5 linked regions of the Danio rerio genome follow. The protein of the gene in region 1 purifies or fractionates together with the protein of each later gene. This does not show direct contact. Links are inferred from orthologs where the notes say so. Each region holds a gene or a part of one and is shown in the gene's direction. Other genes may lie near its edges.

Region 1 (4,423 bases):
ATAAATACTTTATTGTCTTGCCTCATGCTTTATATTCAGGGTTCCCACTCTTCTTGAATTTCAGACATACAAATTCAAGGACTGGAAAATTCTTCAAAACTAACACTAATCCTTGGAAGTGCTTGAATTAAATTAGTCTATGGGGTCATTTCAGCAGTTGTGCTGCTGTCAAATATAGAATGAAAAAGCAATGAGAATTTGCTAAATATTTAAGAGATAAGCATTTCAGAATAGGGATACTCTTATTAATCGTTAACCGAAAGGGTGTGTTTTTAACTGATAAACAATATTGCATGTATTTAAAAAGTTTGGCTGCATAAGGAGTCAATCACAGCAAACACGCTTTTTGTGTTAAGAGCGGCATCTTTTGAATGGTTTTCTAATGGGCCTTGAGCGTTTTGCGGAGCCTTGCACGCCTCACATTTTAGCTGTTGTGTGCTGTGTACTCGCTGTTGAAAAAGGTCAACTCTGAGCAGAAAAGGCATGTTATGTCAGTTTCGTGTTTTTTTTTTTTTTTCCCAATCAAATAAAAGCAGAGTTTCAGTTGTCGAGTTCCGATGCATATTTTCTGTGGAGCGATCTATTTTAGGTAGCCTGCTATTTTTATTTAACGGAAGAAAAAACGTGATTGGACAAACAACATCTGCCGGTTCTTAAAAAGGATTCAGTCAGTGTTTTCATTTTGTATTCTAAACTTGTCATTTAAGTGAAAGATATCTAGGGCAGGAATATTTTTTGATTCTTTTTATTTAGTTTATTCTGTTTTTCCTAGCCGTTGGAAATGCTGCAGGTGCTTGAAGATGTGCTGATGTTCTGTATGCTGTTGTTCACATGTTAAAATAAATTAGTATTTTAAAATGCTATATTTAATGTGTCGGACACAAAATAGACACATCATTTTTTTGATTACATAGTTTAATATTAATCTGACCAGTTAACCGTTACTATTCAGTTAACAAGCGGCGGATGGCAAAATTAACTGAAATGAACATCCATATTTCAGAAAACACAGTTACATATCAACAGCTGTTTTTAATTTAACAAGTACTTTTTTTTTTTAAATGACACAATTAAAACTTTGTCATCACACTGTTATTTTAATGTAAGCATTAAGTGTAAGTGAATTAGTACAGTAAGGACTTTTGTGGTGCTACATATGCTGGCAGTGTAAATTACAAATGTGCTTGATTTTAAAATAATAGTACTTTAAAGTGTCTTTGAATCTACTGTTTATAAATGAATGTTATCCCTTCACATTACATTGAATATACTTTGGGTTTACAAATAATCCTGGGTTCTCATACGCCTTGCTTTACATTTCACACTGTAGCATTCTGAACCCTGCGTTGGCATTTTTATTTGCAGTATGATTGTCATTGATTGGAAGTATACAACATGACATGGCTTCAACAAGAAGGATCTAGTATTGCATATGCTCATACTATATATGAGCATACATACAACATGTCATTAGTCGGCCATGTTGGAGAGCAGAATGTAAACAATGCCACAGAACCAGATGAGACCTGCATATTTTTCATACTGTATTAATTAGTCGGGCATGGGAAAAAATAACTTTAGTAAGTAGTTTACTATAGACTGCCAAAACATTAGTAATGGTTCCATCAATATGTTGTGCACATTTTAGATAAGGTCTTTATAACTTTCAGTTGATGTGCTGTAAGAGAGACCCACTGTGGATTTGATCTGCATTGTTGCGCTTTTGTACAAAAACAATTATTTTTGTTTTCAGCCCTTAGCTTAAAAAAAATATTCTGTCAGATTCTGTCTTGCCTTAGTGATAGAAGAAAATTTGTTAGTTTACTGGAAAAGATATTGTAAAGCATTTGAACAATTGTAACTTGTTTTGATGTGATTTCAGCTGTTGAAGGATGGATTCTGTTTGTGACCGGTGTTCACGAGGAGGCAACAGAGGAGGATGTCCACGACAAGTTTGCAGAGTTTGGAGAAATCAAGAACTTGCATTTAAATTTGGACAGGAGAACCGGTTACCTTAAGGTAAGATTTTCTTTTTTACTTTTTTGGTTCAGTAGCATATACACTCACAGTCCACTTTATTAGGTACACCTTACTAGTACTGGGTTGGACCACATTTTGCCTTCTGAACTGCCTTAATCCTTCATATCATAGATTCAACAAGGTACTTTATATATAAATATTCCTTAGATTTTGCTCCATATTTACATGACAGCCTCACACAGTTGCTGCAGATATGTCGGCTGCACATACACGATGCAAATCTCCCGTTCTACCACATCCCAAAGTTGCTCTATTGGATTGAGGATCTGGTGACTGGGGAAGCCATTTAAGTACAATGAACTCATTGTCATGTTCAAGAAACCAGTCTGAGATGATTCACGCTTTATGACATAAAGTGTTATCCTGCTAGAAGTATCTCCCAGAAGATGAGTATACTGTGGTTATAAAAAGATGGACATGGTCAGCAACAATAGCCTGTGGCGTTGACACGATGCTCAATTGGTACTAATGGGCCCAAAGTATGCCAAGAAAATCTCCTGTACGCCATTACACCACCACCAGCCTTATTCGTTGATATAATGCAGGATGGATCCATGCTTTCATGTTGTTGACGCCAAATTCTGACCTACCTATCCGAATGTCACAGCAGAAATCGAGACTTGTCTGACCAGGCAACGTTTTTCCAATCTTTTATCGTCCAATTTTGGTGTGTCTTTGTGAATTGTAGCCTCAGTTTCCTGTTCTTAGCTGACAGTAGTGGCACCTAGTGTGGTCTTCTGCTGCTGTAGCCCATCTACCTCAAGGTTGGACATGTTGTGTGTTCAGAGATGCTCTTCTGCAGACCTCGGTTGTAAAGTGTGTTAGAGAATTGAACAGTATTTGAGTTACTGTTAGCTGGAACCAGTATGGCCATTCTCCTCTGGCACCAACAAGGCATTTGTGCCCACAGAACAGCCTCTCATTGGATATTTGATCTTTTTCAGACCATTCTCTGTAAAGCCTAGAGATGGTTGTGCGTGAAAATTCCAGTAGATCAGCAGTTTCTGAAAAATTCAGACCAGCCCGTCTGACACCAACAACCATGTTCAAAGTCACTTAAATCACCTTTCTTCCTCATTCTGATGCTCGGTTTGAACTCCAGCAGATCGTTTTGAACATGTCTAAATGCAGAGAGTTGCTGCCGTGTGATTGGCTAATTAGAAATATGTGTTAATGAGCAGTTAGACAGGTCTACCTAATAAAGTTAATAATAAAAGTGAATAAATAAATAAAATAATAAAGTCAGTGTATGTAATGATAGTCTGGGTAAAAAGTAGGGGTGTCACGATTTCGATTTTTAATCGAAATCGATCGAAATTTATGCTCAATTTCGATTATCGAATCAAAAAATAGAATCGTTGAGGCTGCCACGCCCCCATGTCACATCAGCTTGGCTTGCCAAGCGGGAAAAAACAGGCTTGTTGAAGTGCTTGTTAAACTGCAGAAGCAGCAGACCCGTCGACAGAACTTAAACCCTCTCCTCTTTCAATGAAGTCGCCGGTGTGTAAGCATTTAGGATTTCCAGTGAGTTATGTTGACAACGTTCGTGTTGTCAAAAAAAAACACAGTTTTGCAAGCTCTGCTATGTACGTATTGCGTACGTTTCGTCCGATAGACAACACCGGCATCGCGATCCTCCGCCCGCCCCCGTTGCAAATCCGCTTGCGAAAAGTACACACTCAGGCCCTGTTTACACTGTCTTTGTTTTTAAATGGCATTTTAGAATGACAACGATTTGACATCCACAGTGGCGTGTAGCATTTCTGAGCAGCCCTCCTTCCTCTCTACCTCTGACAATGCACATCAGGTGACCACACAGACACAGACGCATACACAGCCATGCGCTCGAGACAGCAGGTCCAGGCAGTCAGAGGACTGCTTCAATCTTTCACTCACTTGTACTTAGTCATTTTAGCGAACACCTCAGATACTGTTGGCTAGTTCCTGTTGGATGTGCGTCTTTTTTTACAGATGCCATTATAACGACACAATCACTGCCTATTCACGAGTCCCGCAGAAAAAGTGATTGACAGGTGGTAATTATGTGTGTATCTTGCCTTTATTCATTTACTGTATGATTTGTTTATCGGTAAAACAAAGACTATGCAGGTCAGGTAGTTTAAACGGTAGGCTACAAATAATTAATTGGTCATTAATTAATTAATTATTCATAAAAATTAGAAAATCGAATCGTGCCTTTAGAATCGAAAATGTAATCAAATCGAGGATTTGGAGGATCGTGACACCCTTAGTAAAAAGACTTGTATATGTGTTTGTGTATAAAAAATATATATTTGCTTTAGGAGGGAAAAAAGTTCTTTCATATGACCGGTGGAAACTTTTGCAGTAACTCTAAGTGGTTGTAGATTTCCCTTACTGGAAA
Region 2 (5,250 bases), on another chromosome or scaffold:
TGCAAAATATATTAGTGCATTTTATTTAATGCTATTTATTTATAGGCACAATTCAAGGCACTCAAAGACACTTTACAGTATTGAACAAAGCATTTGATACAAGTAAACCATTATTTGATGCATTATTTTAATGCAGATTAGATTTTTGAATTAAAACACAGTTGAATGTTTTGTTTACAATATATTTTAATACACTTTATTTTAAAGTGCAAAATGTTTAGTAAAAATGGATGCACAAGACAGCATTAAACTCTGCATTTCAACATGTGATTTTTAAAAATGTGTAAAATGTACCTTGCAATGCAAAACAGTATGTTGTGCACAATATAATTAACGGAATTTTATTTAATGTGAACTCATTTCAGTTGTTTAAAGTGTTCTACGTTGTTTTTTATTTTGTACTTATTGAATGTTACCAAACTCTTCATTTCAAATAACATATTGACTAAAAATATAACATATTAATGTGTTCCCTTACTGGTAACTTTAATATATCTGAAAGGTTTTGTGATTCAAGATGATATGACCTGTTTTTTTTTTTGTTTGTTTGTTTGTTTTTTGTATTTAGATGCACCTCTTGGATATTTCTTTGTTTAGATGTTGTTAAGCCTCTCATGTTAAATGATAATATATGGACTGAACAAATAAGGTGCACTCTGTTTTCTCACTGTTAACTCAGAAAGTCTGGAACAATATATTTTTTATTTTCATGTTTTTTTTTTTAATGCCCTGGTTGTGCTAGGAGAGGCGAAATGTACTGCTTTAAATTGTAAATGGTAAAACTCAATTAGTAAATATTTAAAAAATAAATAAATAAAGTGCTAAATGTTTTTTAAGCAGCATGGCATGATGTTAAGCATATTTAAAATAATGTATATTCTCCATGTCATAGTGAACTATTGTTTGTGTTGTGCAGTGGCAGTATGCCTGCTGAGCGCAAGAAGTCCGTCAACATGGAGGAGCGAGAGACGGGCTCGTTCAGCAAGGACAGAGACGCAGAGCGACCGAGCGGCGCTTCCAGAGACAAAAACAAAGAGGAGAACAAGATGAGCGGCAAGAAGGACGGAGGAAAGACTGCGGAGGACAAGAAGAGACGAGCTGAGGAGGAGAAGAGGAAGAAGGAGGAGAAAGAGAGGAAGAAGAAAGAAGAGGAGAAGCAGAGAGCTGAGGAGGAGCAGAGGAAGAAGGAGGAGGAGGAGAAGAAACAGCTGGAGGAACAGGAGAAGAAACTGCTGGAGGAAGAAGCCAAACGGCAGAGGGAGGAGGAGGCCGCACAGATCAGGTGAGAGGACTGCAGTGTTTATCTTTACCTTCATAAAACAATGATGGCCGCAAATTGATCTCTACAAACTCTGTATTGCAGGCCATGCATGTTTCTGATGTGTGTTTTGTGCATATATGGCAGAACAATCAAATATTGCAATATCAGATTTTCAAATAACATGCAGCCCTGTTTCAAATGGTGTGTGTGTGTGTGTGTGTGTTCAGAGAAAAGGAGGAAGCGGATCAGCTCCAGCAGGAGGCCTGGGAGCGACACCATGGCCGAAAAGACCTGCGAGTGAAGAACCAGCACGCTCAGGAGACCCGTCCAGAAGAGGCTTTCTTCAGCCGCCTGGACTCCAGCCTCAAGAAAAACACTGCTTTTGTCAAAAAGCTCCGCACGCTCACAGAACAACAGCGCGGCTCCTTATCGCAGGACTTCGACTCACTCAACCTCAGCAAATACATCGGGGAGGCCGTGAGCTCTATGGTGGAGGCCAAGCTGAAGATCTCCGATGTAGGCTGTGCAGTTCATCTCTGCTCGCTTTTCCACCAGAGATACGCAGAGTTCGCACCACTTCTTCTCGCCGCCTGGAAGAGACACTTTGAGGCACGTAAAGAGGAGAAGACGCCTAATGTGAGCAAGCTGCGGACCGACCTGCGCTTCATCGCAGAGCTCACCATTGTAGGGCTGTTCACGGATAAAGAAGGCCTGTCGCTGATCTACGAGCAGCTGAAAAATATAATCGCTGCCGATCGAGAGACTCACACTCACGTCTCCGTCATTATCAGCTTCTGTAAGCACTGTGGAGATGACATCGCCGGATTGGTGCCGCGCAAAGTTAAAAACGCAGCCGAGAAGTACAGCCTGTCCTTCCCTCCCAGCCAGATCATCAATGCGGAGAAACAGCAGCCCTTCCAGAACCTGCTGCGCGAGTATTTCACCTCGCTCACCAAACACCTGAAGAAAGACCACCGGGAGCTGCAGAACATCGAGAGGCAGAACAGGTCTGTTGTTGTCTGATCAGTTCACATTCTTCATATCTGCATTACAAATAAGATATTAAATATTTATATCATATTTAATTACTTTTTTATTTATAAAATGTTTAATATGCCGATGTTTGTCTAAAAATATGTTCTTTTAAAAACATTTCCTGAATGCTGTTTAATGGAGAGGCAATGTTTATTTTAATCTGCATTAAAAAAAGAAGAGATATATAATATAAATATAGTTTAAAAAGTAAAACATTTTTAAGCTTATAATATTTTATAAATAGTTTATTTATTCTTTGTCATAATAACAGCACATAATATTTAACTAGTTATTGTACCAGAGTCTAGTATTCAGCATAAAGTGCATTTAATGGCATGTTAGGTTAATTAGGCAAGTCATTGGACAACAGTGGTTTGTTCTGTAGCCAATCGGAATAAAACATTATTAATGTTATATAATAGGGCTGCATAATATTATTATTTCAACAGATGCAACAATTATAGATTGTGGTTGTACAATTATAGTCTGAGGAGTAATCACGGTTTCACGATTATCATCATTATTATGCATTAATTTCAAAACACTACTAATTTAGTAAATCACATGAAAACTCCTATTTGAAAGTGTTATTTATTGCTGCTCAGTAACCAATTTATACTGCACAAAATAAAAATAATAAATAAAAAAATAATAATTCTCTGGAACTAAAAATAAGTGAAAGTTTTTGGCATTTAAACAATAGTAATAATTTTACACTGAAAATAAATGACAGAATAACAAATACATATGTAAATTAAGAGATAAAAAATAGTATTTGTCTAATGTAAATTTAAGCATCATATTAGATAAGAATTTCCCTTTTAAAGTAAACAAATGTAGACAAAGGCTCCTCAACCTCAGTCTGAAAGGCACTTTTGATCAACTATATTATGTATTGTGTAATGTAATGTGTATTTATATAGCGCATTAATTGTGTATGGCCATACACCCAAATCGCTTCACAATCATGAGGGGGGTCTCTCCACACCATCACCAGCATCCACTTGGATGATGCGACGGCAGCCACAGGACAACGGCGCCAGTGCGCTCACCACACACCAGCTATTGGTGGAGTGGAGAGACAGTGATTGAGCCAGTTTGGTGGAAGGGGATGGTTGGGAGGGCATGATCGTAAGAGCCGATTGAAGGACTTTGGCCAGGACACTGGGGTTACATCCCTGCTCTTTCCCGAGAAGTGCCATGGGATTATTAATGACCACAGAGAGTCAGGACCTCGATTTAACGTCTCATCCGAAAGACGGCGCCCACTGACATGTGTATGGATTTTGTATGGATGTGTAAAATCCCTACAAAGTATAGAGCAGTTCTTGTCTCGTGACTCGCGGTTTTGTCACAGTTTTGTTCCATGCATAAACATGCTGTTGAGAAGCCTTTATGATGAATTAACCATGCCAAATTAAATTGCGGTTAATAGTGAAATCAGTTACATCTCTAATTATAATTGACCAGGAGCTGTATTTAATTTCATTGCAATGTTTAACTATAAAGTTTATCCAGGCATAAAAAGGGATGTCTCTAACTTTATGAAAGATTATTATATTTATGTAAATATTAAAACTATAGTATTATTCTACATTTTAAAATGTGTCTATCTGAAGATTGCTAGACTTTCAGAAAATCATAAAGCACTGTGCATTTCATTAGTACAGTATCATTGCTTCACTGTATTTATCAATGTTTGCAATTGGTTTATTGTATTTTTTGCAGATGCTTTCTCTTATAAAATCATCCCAATGTATCTACAATTATAAATTCCTACCAAATAGGTCTATTTATTTTATATGGTGAAATTATACTAAATATTGCAATATCTATTGTAGAAAAATAAAATATCACAATGTCATTTTTTCCAATATCATGCAGCCCTGTTATATAATGTTTGAGACTTAAAATGACAAATACATAAAAATGACAAATTGTAGGTCTTTCCAACAGGGAAAACCAGCAACAATCAATCAAGAATGCATGATTATACTGTCATGGCTTTGCAATCGAAAAATTTTATTATAATGGAAGTCAATGGGGTAAAAACAGCCCCCAACATAACCAAAGGGGAGTAAATTTGGCCAGTCTACTGTTGAGTTTTTGAATAATTCCAAAGCATTTTCCCAAAATATGTGTCAAAATACAATTTATCAGCAAAATCATTAAACTTGCTGAAACACAGAGATAATTGTGGCCAAATTAAGCCTTAAAAATTACCCCAGAGTGGATAAAGAACGACCCAACAGCACACACAGGTATAAAAACAACTTTTATAAAATTGTACATGTGTTTTGTGTGTGTCCAGACGTATCCTGCACTCTAAAGGCGAGCTGAGCGAGGACAGACACAAGCAGTACGAGGAGTTCGCCACACAGTACCAGAAGCTGCTGGCCAACACTCAGACTCTGGCCGACCTGCTGGACGAGAACATGCCGGAACTGCCCCAGGACAAAACCGTACAGGAAGGTGCGACCGCACCATAGAGAGTTTGTGTTGACATATGAGACCACAAAATCAGTCATAAGTGTGCTTTTTTTTTAAAACGTCCACTTTTAAGTAGTTCAAATCAAGTTCTTACCATTGCATAACACTAATCAAATTAATATGATCTTATTCTATTTGGCAAATCCAAATAATGCAAAAGTATTATCGTAAGGTATTTTACAACATGCAGCGTGTGTGTTTTGTGTGGCAGAGCACGGTCCAGGCATCGACATCTTCACACCGGGGAAGCCAGGAGAGTATGATCTAGAAGGAGGAATCTGGGAGGATGAAGATGCAAGAAACTTCTATGAGAACATGGTGGATCTGAAAGCGTTTGTTCCTGCAATCCTGTTCAAAGACAACGAGAAGAGCAGCCAGAGCAGCAAAGGTAGCATCAGGCATTTTTTATGCAATATTTGAAAATGTGCACAGAATTAGGTGGATGGAAACTAGCTAAATGCTGC
Region 3 (5,250 bases), on another chromosome or scaffold:
ATGAACAATAATTACGAAGTGTGGTCAAAAACCTGAGTTATATCCAAACACACGTTATGCCCCATATGGTCTAAAACCTGACAAGAGGGCAAATCTAAGCTTGTTTTTAATAAAACAAATATAAATATGCTTATAATAAATAATGCTACTTATAATGAAAACATAATACAAAAGCAAGTTGTCTTGAATAAGCTTAATAGCAATAAAAAATAAAATATAAAATAGCAACAAATTGGTGTAAACACTTCTTGCGCCTTATTGCGCCAGGTGTATGATAGGGCCCAAAATGTCGTTTTCAATATTAAAACTTTTCAGTTCTCTCAACAAGCTCAACTGCTGCTGAGCCTTTTTAAAAACATTCTCTGTGTGTTTTTCAAATGAAAACAAAGTCAATCTCCACAACTAAATATTTAAAAGAACTCATTTCCACTTACTCCCCATTAATTAACAAAGGGTCATCGAATGTTTGTATTTTGTTTGTCCCAAATATGTGATTACTAACATTGTTTACATTTTTTTTTGAATGCTATTTTATTATAGAGCTGCTCTCTTGGAAATTATCCAGGATTTAGGATTATAATCTGAGCTTGATTTTTACCTCTGTGTGACTTTATTCATAGCCAAAAGGACGACACCCTTGCTGGAATACATCAAAAACAAGAAATTAGAGAAACAGGTAAGAGCACCATATCACTGCATATAACACACTGCGGTTTTGTGCTGTATGTACATCACCATGCCTTTCCATTCTAGAGAATAAGAGAAGAAAAAAGAGAAGAGAGGCGAAGAAGAGAACTGGAAAAGAAGAGGCAGAGGGAAGAGGAGAAGAGGAAACGCAGAGAAGAGGAGAGACAAAAGCGGAAGGAGGCAGAAAAGCAGAAAAAGCTCTCTGAGAAAGAGATAAAGATCAAGGTACGAGTTTAATACCATATTACATCCCATTGCTCGACTGTGCTTATCAGTACTGTAAAACACACACAAACACACGCAGTCATAACATCAGATTTGCATGTTGACTGCTTTAGCTTTTGAAGAAGTGTGACCGAGACGATGACGTGGATTCAGACAGACTGAAAGATAAAGGAGACAGTGGAGAGACGGAGAAGAACAGATGGGAAAAGCCTGGAGGACACACTAAGTCAAAGGATTCAAAGGATAAGTAAGAGCTTCCTAAAACTTACCCCTTCTTGAAAAGATATGAGTTAAAAATAGAGTTAAAGAGTTAAAAATAGAGTTTAAAAATTAAGGATTCAGATTTGTAAATCAACCAAAAGTTGAAAGTTGGGATGAAATTTTCCATTTTCTTAATAACTTTTTAAAGGGATGGATTTACTCGACCAGAAATAAAGATAATTTAAATAATATTTGTAACAGATTTCCAACATTGTTTGAATTATTTTCTTTTGTGTTCAACTGATGACATTCTATGTGGGTGATTAATTTTGTGTGGACTGCCCCCTTATTCATACTTTCCTAATTTTATCTTGTTAATTTCAATGGAAATGTCATAACTTTACTTTCTCTATTTTCCACAAGTGGAATTTTATTTTTGGCTTCACCACACAACCACATCAGCGTTCATATTACACATATCATAGAAAAACAGGCAACACAAATACATTCAGTGTCATCACATAAATCACATTAAAAACTCAATTAACCCTATTAATACTTAAAACCCAGTGTTTAAAACTTTAGTGGCAGTGGCACAAAGGACATTTGATAAACCTTTTTCTTTACTTGAGGTTGCCTCAAATCTCTTTTTGATGGCAAGAGCTGAAATCTTATATTTAAAGAATGGGAACAATTTTCAATAATGACCGTTTAATTCTCATTAAATAAATTTAATTTAGTTGTCTTTGTGCTTTACCTACAATTGCACTGGTCATTTTTACTACTCTACACATTTTTTTGCTTTTTCTAATTTACAACAGTCCATACCATGCAGTCATGTTAAAACTCACAATACTCAATACCCCAATCTGGTGATGTATGACAGACCTGTCCAAATTCCAAAATACACGAGCAGCCAATCAGCAGTAAGCGACGTGTCTAGTAATGATAGTGGAGATGTTAAAAAGTGTCATGTTCCTGTTAAGGAATGGCATGTTTGTTTTGGTGCTTTTAAATATCAATAATGTTTGCCAAAGTTACCTTTGTGCACCATTACACTCTATGGCTTCTTACAATGGACCACAAGCTCAGATTCATATCTGCTACCATTAAATCAAAAACTGATATATGGACTGATAATTCTACCATTCTTTATTTCTTTTTTGATGATAAGTTTCTCTAAGATGAATGTCACAGTGAAGATTAAAAGCTTTTGCTACTTTCATTTCCTTGCACTTTTGAAAAATTTGGGATTTTGATGCAAAATATAGGTTTGTGAAAGAAACAAATGTCTTTACACTTGTGTGTCCATCAATGTAAAACAAATGTTTACAGAGGACAAAAATGTTAGTTACTTAAGTGTCAGTAAGATTGCACAAAGAATATAGAGGCTATTTGTAGAATTCACAAATGCTTAGATTCCTCTCAATAAAATAAACAATAGTTTCATTATAAAATTTAAATAAATTAAGCTGCTAAGTTACTTTAAGGTACACCATTGTGTATCTATTTTTATACAGTTGAAGTCAGAATTATAAGCCCCTCAGTATATTTTTTCACCAATTTCTGTTTAACAGAAAGCAGATCTTTTCAACACATTTTAAAACATAATGGTTGTAATAGCTAATTTCTAATAACTGATTTCTTTTATCTTTGCCATGATGAGAGTACATAATATTTACTAGATATTTTTCAAGATACTAGTATTCAGCTTAAAGTGCAATTTAAAGGCTTAACTAGCCTTTCAAAAAACTGTAAATCTGCTTTTTTTCTAGCCAAAATAAAACAAACTAGACTTTCTCCAGAAGAAAAAATAATATAGGAATTACTGTGAGAAATACCTTGCTCTGTTAAACATTATTAAATATTTGAAAAATAAAATAAATACACATGAGGGCTAATAATTTTGACCTCACCTGTATATCGGGGTGTTGACTTCATGAAATGTGCCCTCCACAGTAGGAGCCAAATGGAAAATGACAAGGAGCAGCGTGAGGGCCACGGCCGACGGCAGAGGGACAAAGATCACCGTGGCCGAGATGAGGAACGTAAACGACAGAGGCATCACTACGAATTTGACAAGTTCATGCGACGCAAGGAAGAGACCAAATGGGGCAAAGGCTACTGCCAGGACAGGGCCAAGAAAGACCAACACCATGGGTATTCCTACTGCCCAGAGACTGGAGACAAACTGGGCAAAGAGGACCGAGAGGACATGGGCAGCAGGAAAGAACGCATCCGCAATAAGGTAAATCAAATAAACTATTACAGAGCAGTAGAGTAGCGATTTCACAGCCACAGTCCATTTGCAGCTCTGGTTCTGGTATTATGTACAGTTATCTGTCAGTTTGTCCGGTCTGTGTAGCAGATGGATCCACTAATGCATTCAATATTTACACATCTGTACTTGATTTATTCATCATTGTGTTCTGTGGGAAATGCAATACCAATCTGCCTCACTCCAGGGGCTTTCAATGCAGGCTACACTTATTTGTTGAGGTAGTTAGCTGTAATTTGGCTGTTGGCAATATTATTGACGAAAGACAACGTGTCTCTCAGTCTGTGTTAGTGCATCAGGAGAAAAGGACTTCCCAGTCTGAGGGGCCAGACCAGATAGGAGGGGCTCTGCCAGCAAAGGTACAGCTAGTTTTTGAGCCTTTCTACCCACGGGAGGGGATATGCTATACACATGTTGTATGCCTACAGTGTCAGGCGTACTTAATGCTGTAATGGCACAGATAAGGAGCAGTTCCCAATAGATAAAAGCACATAATGACTAAAAACTATGACTCTGTTCTAAAACCTATAGTGTGTCTATAAAGACAGCATTTTAAGGCATCTCATGTAACCTTGCTTTTAATGTAGAAATGCTCCAAATGGTTACAATTCTGTATTAGCTTTATAAAAAAAGATATAGTTAAAATATAGTTTAAAATATGTATAACTTGATCAACAGAAAGTTTAAGGATTTTGAAACATTATAAAAAATTATGTTATGTTATATTAAACAAATAATCATTTTAATTTATATAAAATATCCTCATTTAGGGATAAAAAAATAAATATAATACTGGAAATAAACTTAAATAAGGTTTAAGGATTTTACAATATTAAAACAAAGAACAGTTGTGTTATCATATAAGACAACGAAACATTTAAAGTCCTAAAAAATCCTCATTTGAGGAGAAAAATAGATGTGTACTTCAGAAAATGAACTTTATTCAAACTTTATTGTTTTATGTTTAATCCGCTTACATTTGCAAAAACTGTTACAACACAAATTGATAGTGTGGAACTCTTTTTACAGTGTTTATGTATTTTAAAACATCTTAAACATGTTTAAACATGTAAAACATGTCAAAAATCTCCTTTATGATGATTTTAATTAGCGATGTTGATGTAGAGGACTTGTTGATTCAAGAATAGATGCAATCGAATCAAACCGAATACATTTTTAGTGTAATTTGTTTACCTATTTATTAGGTTAACTAAAAAGGATTAGATTGCCTAAGAATTGGACACTATCATTTAAAAAAAACCATGAACATGTAGTTTTTATTAAGTTATAATAGACAGGCTCATTCTAAAAACGTAGCCTTATAAAGATTTCTGGAGATCGCAAATTATGTTGCCAGAGCTACGTATGACTGCATTTCATTTTTAAAATGAATGCTACGAGGCGGTATGATGCCATTCCTTTTCGCGCTTACCAGCTGAACGCTTACCTCTGTATAGACAGCTTTCCTGCTGTTAACAGTTTGTCCAGTAGTTTGACACATACAACGGCAGACTTGCGACGCAGAGGAGAGTTGACTGCGACAACGAGGTTTAAGTCCGGTGAAGAGCAGTTCCAGAAAGCAGGTAAGGCAAAAATAAAATAAGCAAATAAATAACAGAGTAAGAATGTGGTGAAATATGGTAAAAATCAGTGAGCTTTTTTTTTTTAGATTGCTTTTTAAAACTTTGGTTGGGTTCAGGGAAGGGGGTTGGTGGGTCAATCAGTGCTTTATAAAACACTATTTGTTGGGTTTAGGGAAGGGGAAGGGAGAGGGTATTGGTTGGTTGGTCAGTCAGAAAATCAGTCAGTTGACAGCGGCCTCTGGTGGATTTAGGTGAGAACAGCAGGCAGGAACGGCC
Region 4 (5,250 bases), on another chromosome or scaffold:
TTAACCATGTTCCTGGATGACCACCATCTCTCCAAATTTTCAATGTCTCCTTAACCAAACACGCCTGATTCTGATCATCGGCCTATTAGCAGAGACTGAAGGATCTGAAATGGTGTAACAGACAAAGGATGCAATGCTGGTGGTCCTTTAGGAGTTTGGTTGATAAACACTGACTTACGCTGAGCATAATTAGCAGAACATACCGTTATTTTCTGTGCAGTTGTTAAATATTTAAATTTAAATTAAATAAAAAGTTATTAATCTGTAGCTAATCTGCATGCTGAACAATGGGTTGCGATCCATACATGGATCTACTGTGATCTGTTGCACACTTATAGAATATAGTTCAAAACTCTGTATTTCTGTAAAATGGAAAGGAGCAGTGTGATCATTCTTTAAAACATCTACTTTTGAATTCCACGGTTAATGCAAGACAGTAGGTTAGTTTAAAACAACATGATCATTCATTTATTTCCCTTTGGCTTAGTCTCATATTTAGAGGTTACCACTGGAGAATGAACTGCCAACTACACCGGCATATGTTTTACACAGTGGATGCCCTTCCAGCCGCAAGCCAGTACTGGGAAACACCCATACACGCTTACATTTACACTCATACACTACAGACAATTTAGTTGATTTAGTTCCCCTGTACCACATGTATTTGGACTGTGGGGGAAACCAGAACACCCGGAGGAAACCCACGTGAACACGGGGAGAACATGCAAACTCCACACAGAAATGTCAACTGGCCCAGCTGGGACTCAAACCAGCGACCTTCTTGCTGTTAGGGGACAGTGCTAACCACTGAGCCACCGTGCCACCTATAAAATCTTATAAATGGACCTCGTTTTTGGAAGATTTTGTTTAAAAATGACATCACCCTAGTTCATATTTTGATTTCGCATCTCTCCCGCTCTTACAGACTGTGTTTTCTCTCTCTTTAGTGATCCCGAAAGTGCGTCTGGAAGCTCTACACATGAGTGGAGTCGATGACATGAGCACTCAGGATGTTTTTGGCTACTTTAAAGAGTATCCGCCTGCACACATCGAGTGGATAGATGACGCTTCCTGTAAGTACACCCTCACAGATATTATTACCACAAAGTGACAAAATTATACTTGATGAATGGCTACAAATCTGAATGGGAAATAGGCCTAGTTTTGTTTAAAGCTCGATTGTGGTGTTCATAGTCAAATCTCACTGTTCCCAGGCAACGTGGTGTGGCTCGACGACATCACTTCCACCAGAGCTCTCATTAACTTGAGTCGGATGCCAGATAAAGAAGAGGTCACAAACACAGACAGCTCGAAACCCTCTGAACTTCCTGTCCAGACGCAGAAAGGTTCTTATTATTTGCTTCATTGTGTCACCTTGAAATAAACACTCCAAATCCGAAACAAAAATTGTGTTTTAAAGGTCCCATAAAATTAAAATACAGTTTTGTAGATGTTAGTGTCAGTATTGTTGGTTTTTAAGATATCTATAAGCTAGTGTGTTCCAAAAAAGTAACAAAATTTGTGTTTAAAAGATGTAAAACTGATATAAACATGTAAAGCTTGTAGTTTGTCTCTTCCACCTAAATGGAGCAATGGTTTTATTCAGGTCACCGCATACTACAGCTTCTTGTCAAATCATATCCAATTAAATGCTCTTTAGTATTTGACAAACTCCGCCCCCTTTAAGCTGATTTTCATTTTCTTTTCATTTGTTGCACTTGAGCTCAATCACTCTCGCTGGAGCAGAGTGGTGATGAAAACAAAACACTGTTGTCTGTTTTTAAAAAAGGGGGAGGAGCTTTATAATGTCCCACCCTCTCTTTGTGTTTCGGTTGAGATTACATCAAACATCCAATAAAAAAAGCACATCTCAAATGAGACATTTAAAGTTGAAACAAAACTGTCATGTCTTTTCTGAGCAGCTCGACGAAGCCGTGGGTCTGATGATGATGATGACGATGATGAGGAAGAGGAAGGTGAGGTAGATGATGACGATGATGATGATGAGGAAGATGAGAAGGCTCGTGACATTGAAGATGAGACTGAAAAGAAACCACAAGAAACCAGAGAGGTAAAGTTTTAGTTTTATCATTTAGAGCATTGTTTCCATTTATTTTTTTCCCTAAGATTAAAAATGTGTCATGAACCATTATAGTGCAAAAACCTGTATTTGTTATATGGAAAGGAGCAGTGTGAACATTCTTTAAAACATCTACTTTTGACCTCCACGGTCCATGCAAAACAGTAGGTTAGTTTGAAGTAACATGAGGGTGTGTATATGACAAAATAGTTCATTCATTCATTCATTCATTTTCCTTCGTATAATAATCATCCACCTGCCAGCCACCTGCACATATCATTTTATCTGATATATCAGCGTGGATTGTTCGTTATTAACACACATGCATCCACGAGACTAGACCTAACTTCCAGTGCTATTTATTGCTGTTCTGACGAATATAAGAACTTACAGTGCTTGTCTGACTTTGAGTTGACCGACCTTTTGATTTAGCACACACGTTTTATATTTGAGGTACCTTCTTGTGGCTTTCATATACATAAAGCACGTCACAGCCGTTGCATATTATATATGATTCATCCTCATTAACCACTTTGCTTAAATACTCCCCCATTGCATTTTTCTTTCCTTCCTTTTGTTTCTCTCAGATTGGTTTTGCCTCCATTTCTACTTTAACAAAAGGACCTCCACCATTTTAAATTAGCCTGCAAATCAGGGTCTGATAACACATTTATATTTTACAGAATGTGTAAAAATACAAAGCAAAAATCATTAATTATTAAACTCATCCACCTGCAATTAATCATAATGTATTTTTTTATTACTTGACCCACAGATTATCCACAACGTCCGTGGATATAACCTCCATCTGCGCATCACTAGTTGCCTCGCACTGCAACATATACTGTTTCACTCTCCGTTCAAGTCATAGTCATTTGACGCTGAAAGCACTGCATTATGAAAACAATGGCCCGCATGATGTGTGGACTGTTTTTATTGCTGTTGTAATCTGTATATTTTAAGTTAATGAGTTAAATTTACAGTCTTGTAAATTAACTTTAATATTAATGAATAAAATAATAAAAGATTATTGCCTAAACCATTTTCGGCCAAGCGCATCTTGAAGTTTTGGCTTAGGCTTAAAACTTTCATGCGCATAGTAACTGAAATTGTATATATAAGGCTCTTTAGTGAGTTCAATAAATGGATTGAACATGTTACTAGAGGTGTGAGTTTGCGTGTTCTCCCTGCGTTCGCGTGGGTTTCCTCCGGGGGCTCCGGTTTGCCCCACAGTCCAAAGACATGAGGTACAGGTGAATTGGGTAGGCTAAATTGTCTGTAGCGTATGAGTGTGTGGATGTTTCCCAGGGATGGGTTGCGGCTGGAATGGCATCGGCTGCGTAAAAACTTGCTGGATTAGTTGTCGGTCTGTTGTGGCGACTCCAGTTTAATAGAGGGACTAAGCCGACAAAAAAATGAATGAATGAATATATATATATATATATATATATATATATATATATATATATATATATATATATATATATATACCGATGAGTGACACGGGAGCAACAGCAGCGATTACAGTCTATATGTGCATAATACGCAGTTATCACAGGTAATCCATAACAGACACAGTGGAAAAAAGTCAAGGCACGCTCGTGTCTGGATCCACAAGTGTCGCTTTAACAGCCAAGAGGAGAGGAAAAGTTACCTCACAAACACGCCAGCGGGTCAAATGTCCAAAGTGAGAGAGAGGCAGAGATGGATTTTTACAGCATTTCTCCCTAGCAGTGAAAACATGGCTCGTGTGCTCTGCCTTCTTCAGTGTCAATATAAGACTGTCCAGCAAACTCATAAGCAGTTGAAATGTGCATAATTATCTACCTTTTAAGTAGTAGGACTGTTTTATTTACTCGCACTTGCCTCCTTCGCCAAAGTATTTTACTGCGACATCCCGCATAGGAGATAAATGACGTCAGTACGTAATAACCGGTTATGATCTATTACTGAACCAATATCGAATTGTCCCTATCTGCATCGCGGTTCACCGAAGAAACACTTCATTTTGACATCCCATATGTGTTACCTTTCCTGAATGTGAAAATAGGTTCCCTTACCTTGCATACTTTATATTGATTTATTTATTTATTTTCATTCTAGACTAGCCTGTCTCAAGCAGAGCGAGATTCTCTCCTTCAAAATGAACCACGACCCACAGTCAAACCCTTCAAAGGCAACAAGCTCTTCTTGCGCTTTGCCACCCATGGTGAGAAACAGACTTGAGTGTGTCGCCTACAATTAGAATTGTGTCAAGAACTCTTCATTGCTTGATATAGAACAGACTGTACACAAAACGATATTTGCATGTTGACACTCATTTTCCATCAGATGACAAAAAGGAGTTGGGTGCAGCCAGAAGAAGTCGATACTACATGAAATATGGGAATCCAAACTATGGTGGCATGAAAGGCATCTTGAGTAACTCTTGGTAAGAAAAACTTTGATACTTTTGGTGGAATAACATGTGGCACCTGCTAACAAACACCGCTAGGACAAGATTCCAAAAGATGACTAAATGTTCACGATAGTATTTTTTTTTCCTGCCAGTATTAGTAAGCAATGCCATTTTGTTGTGTACGACATGCATAGATGAGTGCTTCAAAATAAGGTTGTCAAAAGTATCGAGTTCAGGACCAATCGGTTCTGAAATTTTTAAAACAACCATTTCCCGCTAACATTTAAGTGCTGTTCTTATGCAATGCTGGTTGGCCATTGTGTTCTGGTGCTGAACAGGAATGACTGTGATTGGCTGTTAAGGTGATCGCTTCACCAGCCTTCACTGCTGTTCACCAAGTGCAAACACAGATACTGGAGTGTCAATCAGCTGTTCTGTGTTTTAGCTGACCTAAGAATGATCCGATGATGGATTGACTGATCTACATGGCTTTGAAACTTCAGTATCCATGCATCTGTATTTGCACTTGGTTACATATTTTTTGGAGATTTTTGTTTAGGCTAACTCATTAGCAGCTCTTGCGGGGTCAGTTGCATGGTAAGAGACCTAAGATGGGATTGTCAGACACAATTTAAGATTTCTGAAGTAATGATAATGATAAGATATGACATTGTTAGACAGGATTAGAATCAAGAGTCAAGATTTGCTTCTGTAATATGAGTTAATGAAAACTTTAGTGTATTGCATCTTTAGATAAGAACGTTTCTGTAAT
Region 5 (5,250 bases), on another chromosome or scaffold:
GTTGTTGTTAAGCTTAAAGATGCTGCACAAAACAATGTGCATGTTTAGTTTTTTTTTTTTATTTTGAGTGGATGAAATGCTCGTGCAACTAAAGGCTGTTTTATACTTCTGTGTCGAGAATTTGGTGTGACCCACGGTGCCTGCCTTGCGTATAGTCGTGCATTTATACTTCTGCGAACTGTTTGTGTTTTATTGCAATAACACTTCCAAAGCGCTAGCTGGCAATAGGTTTTTATGTGCTTCTGTGTTGTATTTCTTTGCTAGTGTTCCATATTTTTTTTAATTCTACCTTAATGTACAAGTAGCTAAAACTCGCTCGTTCAGAAGTGGTAACCGGCGCATGTGCAGCAACATTATGTATAGGGTAAACACAAAACAAAAGTTTCCATTTGAAGCTCCTTCACAGGACTCGACACTTGTAAACACTCACTTCAACGGGTTTGCGCAGCTCTTGAACCAGCCCACACTCAGCACAGCTACCAAGCCAACCAATCACAAAGTTTGCGCTACGCATTGTTGGAAAATTTTTGAGAGGTGGCTGGAGTATACACGTGCGCTTGGCACAGAAGTACATATCAGCCTTAAGACATCATCAGATAATAAGATAATTGAGAAAAACGAGGAGAGCAGTTGCTTTCCGTTTCACACAAAGCTGACGTGTCCGGCCATTGAGCGGACAGAGGGCAGTGTTTAGAGGCTGTTCAACTACATGAGCGCTCACACAATACAAATGCAATCAAATGCTTTTTTGGCCACCTCTTAATGTGGTTGAAAGTGGACAAGCTCAAAACCTTCAGACCCCCTTTACACCTGTATTTAGTGTTGTCCTCTTGTAATTGGACCAACAAAAACGATTCTTAATACCAGGTGTCTAATACAGAGCCTTAACAGCATGTTTCAATGGGACCAAAGAGTGACTCAAGAAAGAGACTAGGATAATTTGCAACAGTTTGCCCTTTCTAAGATACATTTGGATATCTGAAAGGGAAATGCACTGTGGTCATTCACAGGCTTTACTGCAAAATACAGTTTGATCTATTTGAATACAGATTTTATTTATGCAGCTTACATGCAACCCATGTGGTATGGTCTAAAATGCAGTAGGGTTTAAAAACACAGCAATCTGGAATTTACAATCTTTAGTCTTGAAATAATGTTTTGCTTAAATATGATTTGATTGAATTTATACAACCTTAGGCTAAAGTACCAAACATGTGACATGTAGATTGATTTCTGTAAGAGTTCTTTTAAATGTTTTTTAAGTAATTCAGACTTACCAAGCATTTATTTGATCAATGTTTTTCAGTTGTATTCAGTATCAAAAAATAATAATGTTTCGATGGTTGTTTGGACTGCTGGTTGTTGTCAATGACCCAAAAAATCTTTGGCGAGCCAGCCAGGAGCTATAGCTGATTTTTGGATCTTGTTTGGATTAAGAATTATTTTAGTGATGAGAATTGGCTGGCACCGTGTTACAGCTGCTTAGTATTGCAGGTGGTGATCTTTGTGAAGTCGGTGCAGCGTTGTATTGCTCTCGCTCAGTTGCTGGTGGAGCAAAATTTCCCTGCCATTGCCATTCATAGAGCAATGCCCCAAGACGAAAGGTAGAAAAAACTATTTCAATTCATTTTAGAGTTAATATTTATAGATTTTAGGGAGCTTGTATCATATTTTATTCTTATTTTTTTCCCCCCAAGACTAGCTCGATATCAGCAATTTAAAGATTTCCAGAGAAGGATCCTGGTAGCCACTAATCTGTTTGGCCGAGGTATGGACATCGAAAGAGTCAACATTGCCTTTAACTACGACATGCCTGAAGACTCTGACACGTACCTGCACAGGGTTGGTGCTGATCACGTGATACTGTTTTACTGTGACACTGTCCAAAAGCGTTATTAAACTGGCTGGTAGTGGATTCACCTGAACTACTCCAACTTTTCTCGTTCTTCAGGTTGCACGGGCTGGCAGATTCGGAACAAAAGGTCTGGCCATCACCTTTGTGTCCGATGAAAATGATGCCCGCACTTTGAATGACGTTCAGGACAGGTTTGAGGTGAACATCAGTGAACTTCCAGAGGAGATTGACATCTCATCATACAGTGAGTGTTAACATTCAAACTTTAAAATGTACAGAACAAGATGAGAACATTTCTATATAGGAAATCAAATCGATAAATAATTCAGTTCTCCACATACGAACTACATAACAATGGACTAAAAACGAAAGCATTTCATTTGATTTTTGAAAAGTGTTTGGGTTACAGATGATCTGTATTATTGAGGTCTGCAGTACTTGGTCAGTATCTTGACTAGTGTTGTCATGATACTGCAATTTTGGTATCAGTCTTTACTGAAATTTAAAGAGCCCCTATTATACATGAAATATGGTCATATTTTGGTTGTAAGGGTCTCCAACAACAATCTAGTATGCATGCAAGGTCAAAAAACACTTTAATGGACTTATAATCTGCATTTATTTTTATCTAATTATCCCAGTGACTCCCATATGAATCGTTCAGTGATTCATTTGTTCCCAAACCCCTCCTTAGCGCGAAGCTAATCTGGGCTGATTGGACCGATGACAGCCTGCTGCGATTAATCAATACTGACTGCCTTCAGCGAGAGACAGAGTCAAATGCCCAGCAGCTAATCAACAATATAAAATCACAAATAAATACATTTGCAGGCTAGAGTAAACAAGGCAACAACTTTAATCGCAGGTACTTACACTTGTGAAATGGAGGAAGAAACCGATCCTTGTTCTGACATAGTCCAGCAGTACTCTTTACTGATCCTTCCTTTAACAAACGGCCGATGAAGTCTTCTTTATAAGCATGTAGTTTCCAGAAGCACTCAAACTGCACAAGGCTGGGATAATGCTGAGGTTTCATCTTTGGGTAGAGACTGTCAATAATATCCATCTGCGCAGAGTGACTTCAATTGACCGGCGTGCGTGCGCGTGTGTGTGTGTGTGTGTGGCTTTAGAGGGCGGGACCGCAGGTTTAAAATCTCCCGGGTTTGCGCGTGCAACTATTTGTGTTTTGTAGATGCGTCATCGCGAAACACCTAATGACTCGTTATCAAGACAACTCATTTAAACCACTATGAGTCGACTCTATTATAGCTTAATTAACAGTTTTAAACACTGTACACTTACAGATTTAAGCCTTAATTGAATATTTCACTTCACTTAGAGCTGTTACACACTACATGGAAGGCAATTTTCAAAAACCCATAATATGGGCTCTTAAAAAACGTCTATTTTCTGCTAATTTATAAGCCCTGTTGAGCGCATTTTTAAACACTGCAGATTTGTCAATATGACATTTTGATCTTTAGTTTTAATCTTTCAGTCCATAATATTGTAGTGATATTAACATACTGTTAAATTAGTAACTAAAACATTTTGACTACTGCTGACGATACAAACTGACTTTGCCTCTAAATAAACATAAACAAAGAACACTGATCACACACTTACCAAATCTGCAGAGACAGGAGAATCAACACAAACTGGAGCCGCGTCTTTTTTTAAAAGAAGTGGAGTGGCAAATCCAGATTTCACTTTCCAGATGCGAAAAGCTCTCCGGGACAAATGTTCCTTGCAAACATATTTTTGTTGCATGTTAGCAGACCACTGTAATCCACACACGAGCTGTGCTCTCTTGCGGTTAATTGAAAACAAAACCTTCGTTGCGGCACATTTATAAACGCAACACTGACAATCCATGTCTTCGAACAATTCTTCTTCTTCCACTTGTTTTTTTCACGGTTGGCAACGTGGCGTCTCTCTGCGTCTAAACACTTTAACAGGTAAAAAGAGTCTTCAAAGCTACATCATGCATAATAATAAAGTTGCACCTCATACAAAATAGAGTGTGCTGATTGGTTTGAACCAGGTCTTTCTCATGAATTAATGATGAAAGCTCAAAGACGTCACGTTGTACCAGCCGGTACAGACATCCAGTCTCCACGCTGGAATTTACACATGGATCTCATAGCCATGACTGCTTAAAAATTTCTTTTTAAACCAGAAGAACAAATTTGTTCAAAATAACGCAAAAACAACCAATTTTCAATTATTTTTGTGAAATATGTGTGTCTTAATAGTGTTTTTAGCAGCATGGGACACACATATGTATGACTGTATACACCTTAAAAAATGTGTTTTGGTGTTTCATGATCCTTTAAAGCTGCAAAGATTAGCTGGTCTGTATGAGCTGACATACAGGCGATCCACTGATGTATCGACTGATTTTTGCGGCTTTAAAATGCTCCAGTGTCCTAGTATCTGTCTTTGCACTCAGACAGTGGTGAACTAATAACCTTCACAGCCAATCAAAGTCATTTCTGTTTACATAAAGGCGCTTAAACGTTTTTACATTTTCAGTACCGAAATTCCAGTATCGTGACAACACTAATCTTGACACACACAAACACAGTCCTGCAGTCCACCATTGTTGTTTTGGTTCTTTTCATATTTTCATTGTTCTATAAAATGTTTTCTGTCAAAACAGTTATTATTTAATCTGAATTTGTGCATTCACTTATTTGTTTTTCTCCTTGTTTTCTCCTAGTTGAACAAACACGATAAAGATGACAACACTAAATGCAGGAGTTTCTTCAGAAGGATGCATGGGATTGTAGCATTTGATAGCAATTGAGTTTGTATTTCACTGTTCCAGTGTTAGTGAATACTTCTATGGCTCACATCGCTGCGTTATCCAGTATTGTGGTGGTTTCCTGACGCCTTCTTGGTTTCGTTTTTGCTTATTGAAAGTTAATAAATGCAATATTTTGTTTTTTATGACTTTTTTTCCTTTCGATATGAATTATTTTGTGTTTGGGATGTTTGTTTTTACTTTGTTTTTAATGAAGAGATATACTTTATCATTTCTGTTGTGAGAGGAAGAGTTCTCATTTTTGGATTATAATGGGCTACACAGTTGACTGCAGTGAAGTAGAATTGATCAAAAGTTACTAAATATATTAGCAGTGTATGCTGAATGCTTGTTACCAGTGGAGTAGGTATTTAAAACAATGTTTGTTCATTCAGTTGTCAACTGGCAGGCCACTTTGTTTAAACTACTCAATGCTTGTTAAACCAAATAAAGTATTGTTTGATTTACATATAGTTTTCATCAGCATTTTTTCCTCATACAGTGTTCATTTACTGAGCCACCTGCTTTGTGCTTATAGGAACTAGACACCAGGCAGGACCCACAACATCCTACTGGTTGCATTCATACT

What was found.
Region 2: the proteins of rbm8a (region 1) and upf2 purify together in Homo sapiens (co-immunoprecipitation; 6 studies listed by BioGRID and IntAct, with this or other methods). This does not show direct contact. The link is inferred for Danio rerio from reciprocal best matches to the Homo sapiens genes RBM8A and UPF2.
Region 3: the proteins of rbm8a (region 1) and upf3a purify together in Homo sapiens (co-immunoprecipitation; 4 studies listed by BioGRID and IntAct, with this or other methods). This does not show direct contact. The link is inferred for Danio rerio from reciprocal best matches to the Homo sapiens genes RBM8A and UPF3A.
Region 4: the proteins of rbm8a (region 1) and ncbp3 purify together in Homo sapiens (co-immunoprecipitation; 3 studies listed by BioGRID and IntAct, with this or other methods). This does not show direct contact. The link is inferred for Danio rerio from reciprocal best matches to the Homo sapiens genes RBM8A and NCBP3.
Region 5: the proteins of rbm8a (region 1) and ddx39b purify together in Homo sapiens (co-immunoprecipitation; 4 studies listed by BioGRID and IntAct, with this or other methods). This does not show direct contact. The link is inferred for Danio rerio from reciprocal best matches to the Homo sapiens genes RBM8A and DDX39B.

The regions. Positions count from the first base shown.
Region 1 is NC_133191.1:50,393,191-50,397,613, forward strand, and holds part of rbm8a (RNA-binding protein 8A), read left to right. Parts: intron 1-1,882; coding exon 1,883-2,019; intron 2,020-4,423.
Region 2 is NC_133179.1:1,379,794-1,385,043, reverse strand, and holds part of upf2 (regulator of nonsense transcripts 2), read left to right. Parts: intron 1-916; coding exon 917-1,282; intron 1,283-1,488; coding exon 1,489-2,268; intron 2,269-4,607; coding exon 4,608-4,768; intron 4,769-4,997; coding exon 4,998-5,174; intron 5,175-5,250. UniProt on the Homo sapiens protein: Involved in nonsense-mediated decay (NMD) of mRNAs containing premature stop codons by associating with the nuclear exon junction complex (EJC).
Region 3 is NC_133184.1:36,596,317-36,601,566, reverse strand, and holds part of upf3a (regulator of nonsense transcripts 3A), read left to right. Parts: intron 1-620; coding exon 621-676; intron 677-753; coding exon 754-912; intron 913-1,025; coding exon 1,026-1,159; intron 1,160-3,072; coding exon 3,073-3,361; intron 3,362-3,672; coding exon 3,673-3,750; exon of another isoform or gene 3,751-4,974; intron 4,975-5,250. UniProt on the Homo sapiens protein: Involved in nonsense-mediated decay (NMD) of mRNAs containing premature stop codons by associating with the nuclear exon junction complex (EJC) and serving as link between the EJC core and NMD machinery.
Region 4 is NC_133196.1:33,669,127-33,674,376, reverse strand, and holds part of ncbp3 (nuclear cap-binding protein subunit 3), read left to right. Parts: intron 1-947; coding exon 948-1,073; intron 1,074-1,214; coding exon 1,215-1,346; intron 1,347-1,922; coding exon 1,923-2,071; exon of another isoform or gene 2,072-3,523; intron 3,524-3,571; exon of another isoform or gene 3,572-4,183; coding exon 4,184-4,289; intron 4,290-4,411; coding exon 4,412-4,511; intron 4,512-5,250. UniProt on the Homo sapiens protein: Associates with NCBP1/CBP80 to form an alternative cap-binding complex (CBC) which plays a key role in mRNA export. NCBP3 serves as adapter protein linking the capped RNAs (m7GpppG-capped RNA) to NCBP1/CBP80.
Region 5 is NC_133194.1:29,769,390-29,774,639, forward strand, and holds the end of ddx39b (DEAD (Asp-Glu-Ala-Asp) box polypeptide 39B), read left to right. Parts: intron 1-1,494; coding exon 1,495-1,604; intron 1,605-1,697; coding exon 1,698-1,842; intron 1,843-1,951; coding exon 1,952-2,099; intron 2,100-4,577; coding exon 4,578-4,594; 3' UTR 4,595-5,130; downstream 5,131-5,250. UniProt on the Homo sapiens protein: Involved in nuclear export of spliced and unspliced mRNA. Component of the TREX complex which is thought to couple mRNA transcription, processing and nuclear export, and specifically associates with spliced mRNA and not with unspliced pre-mRNA.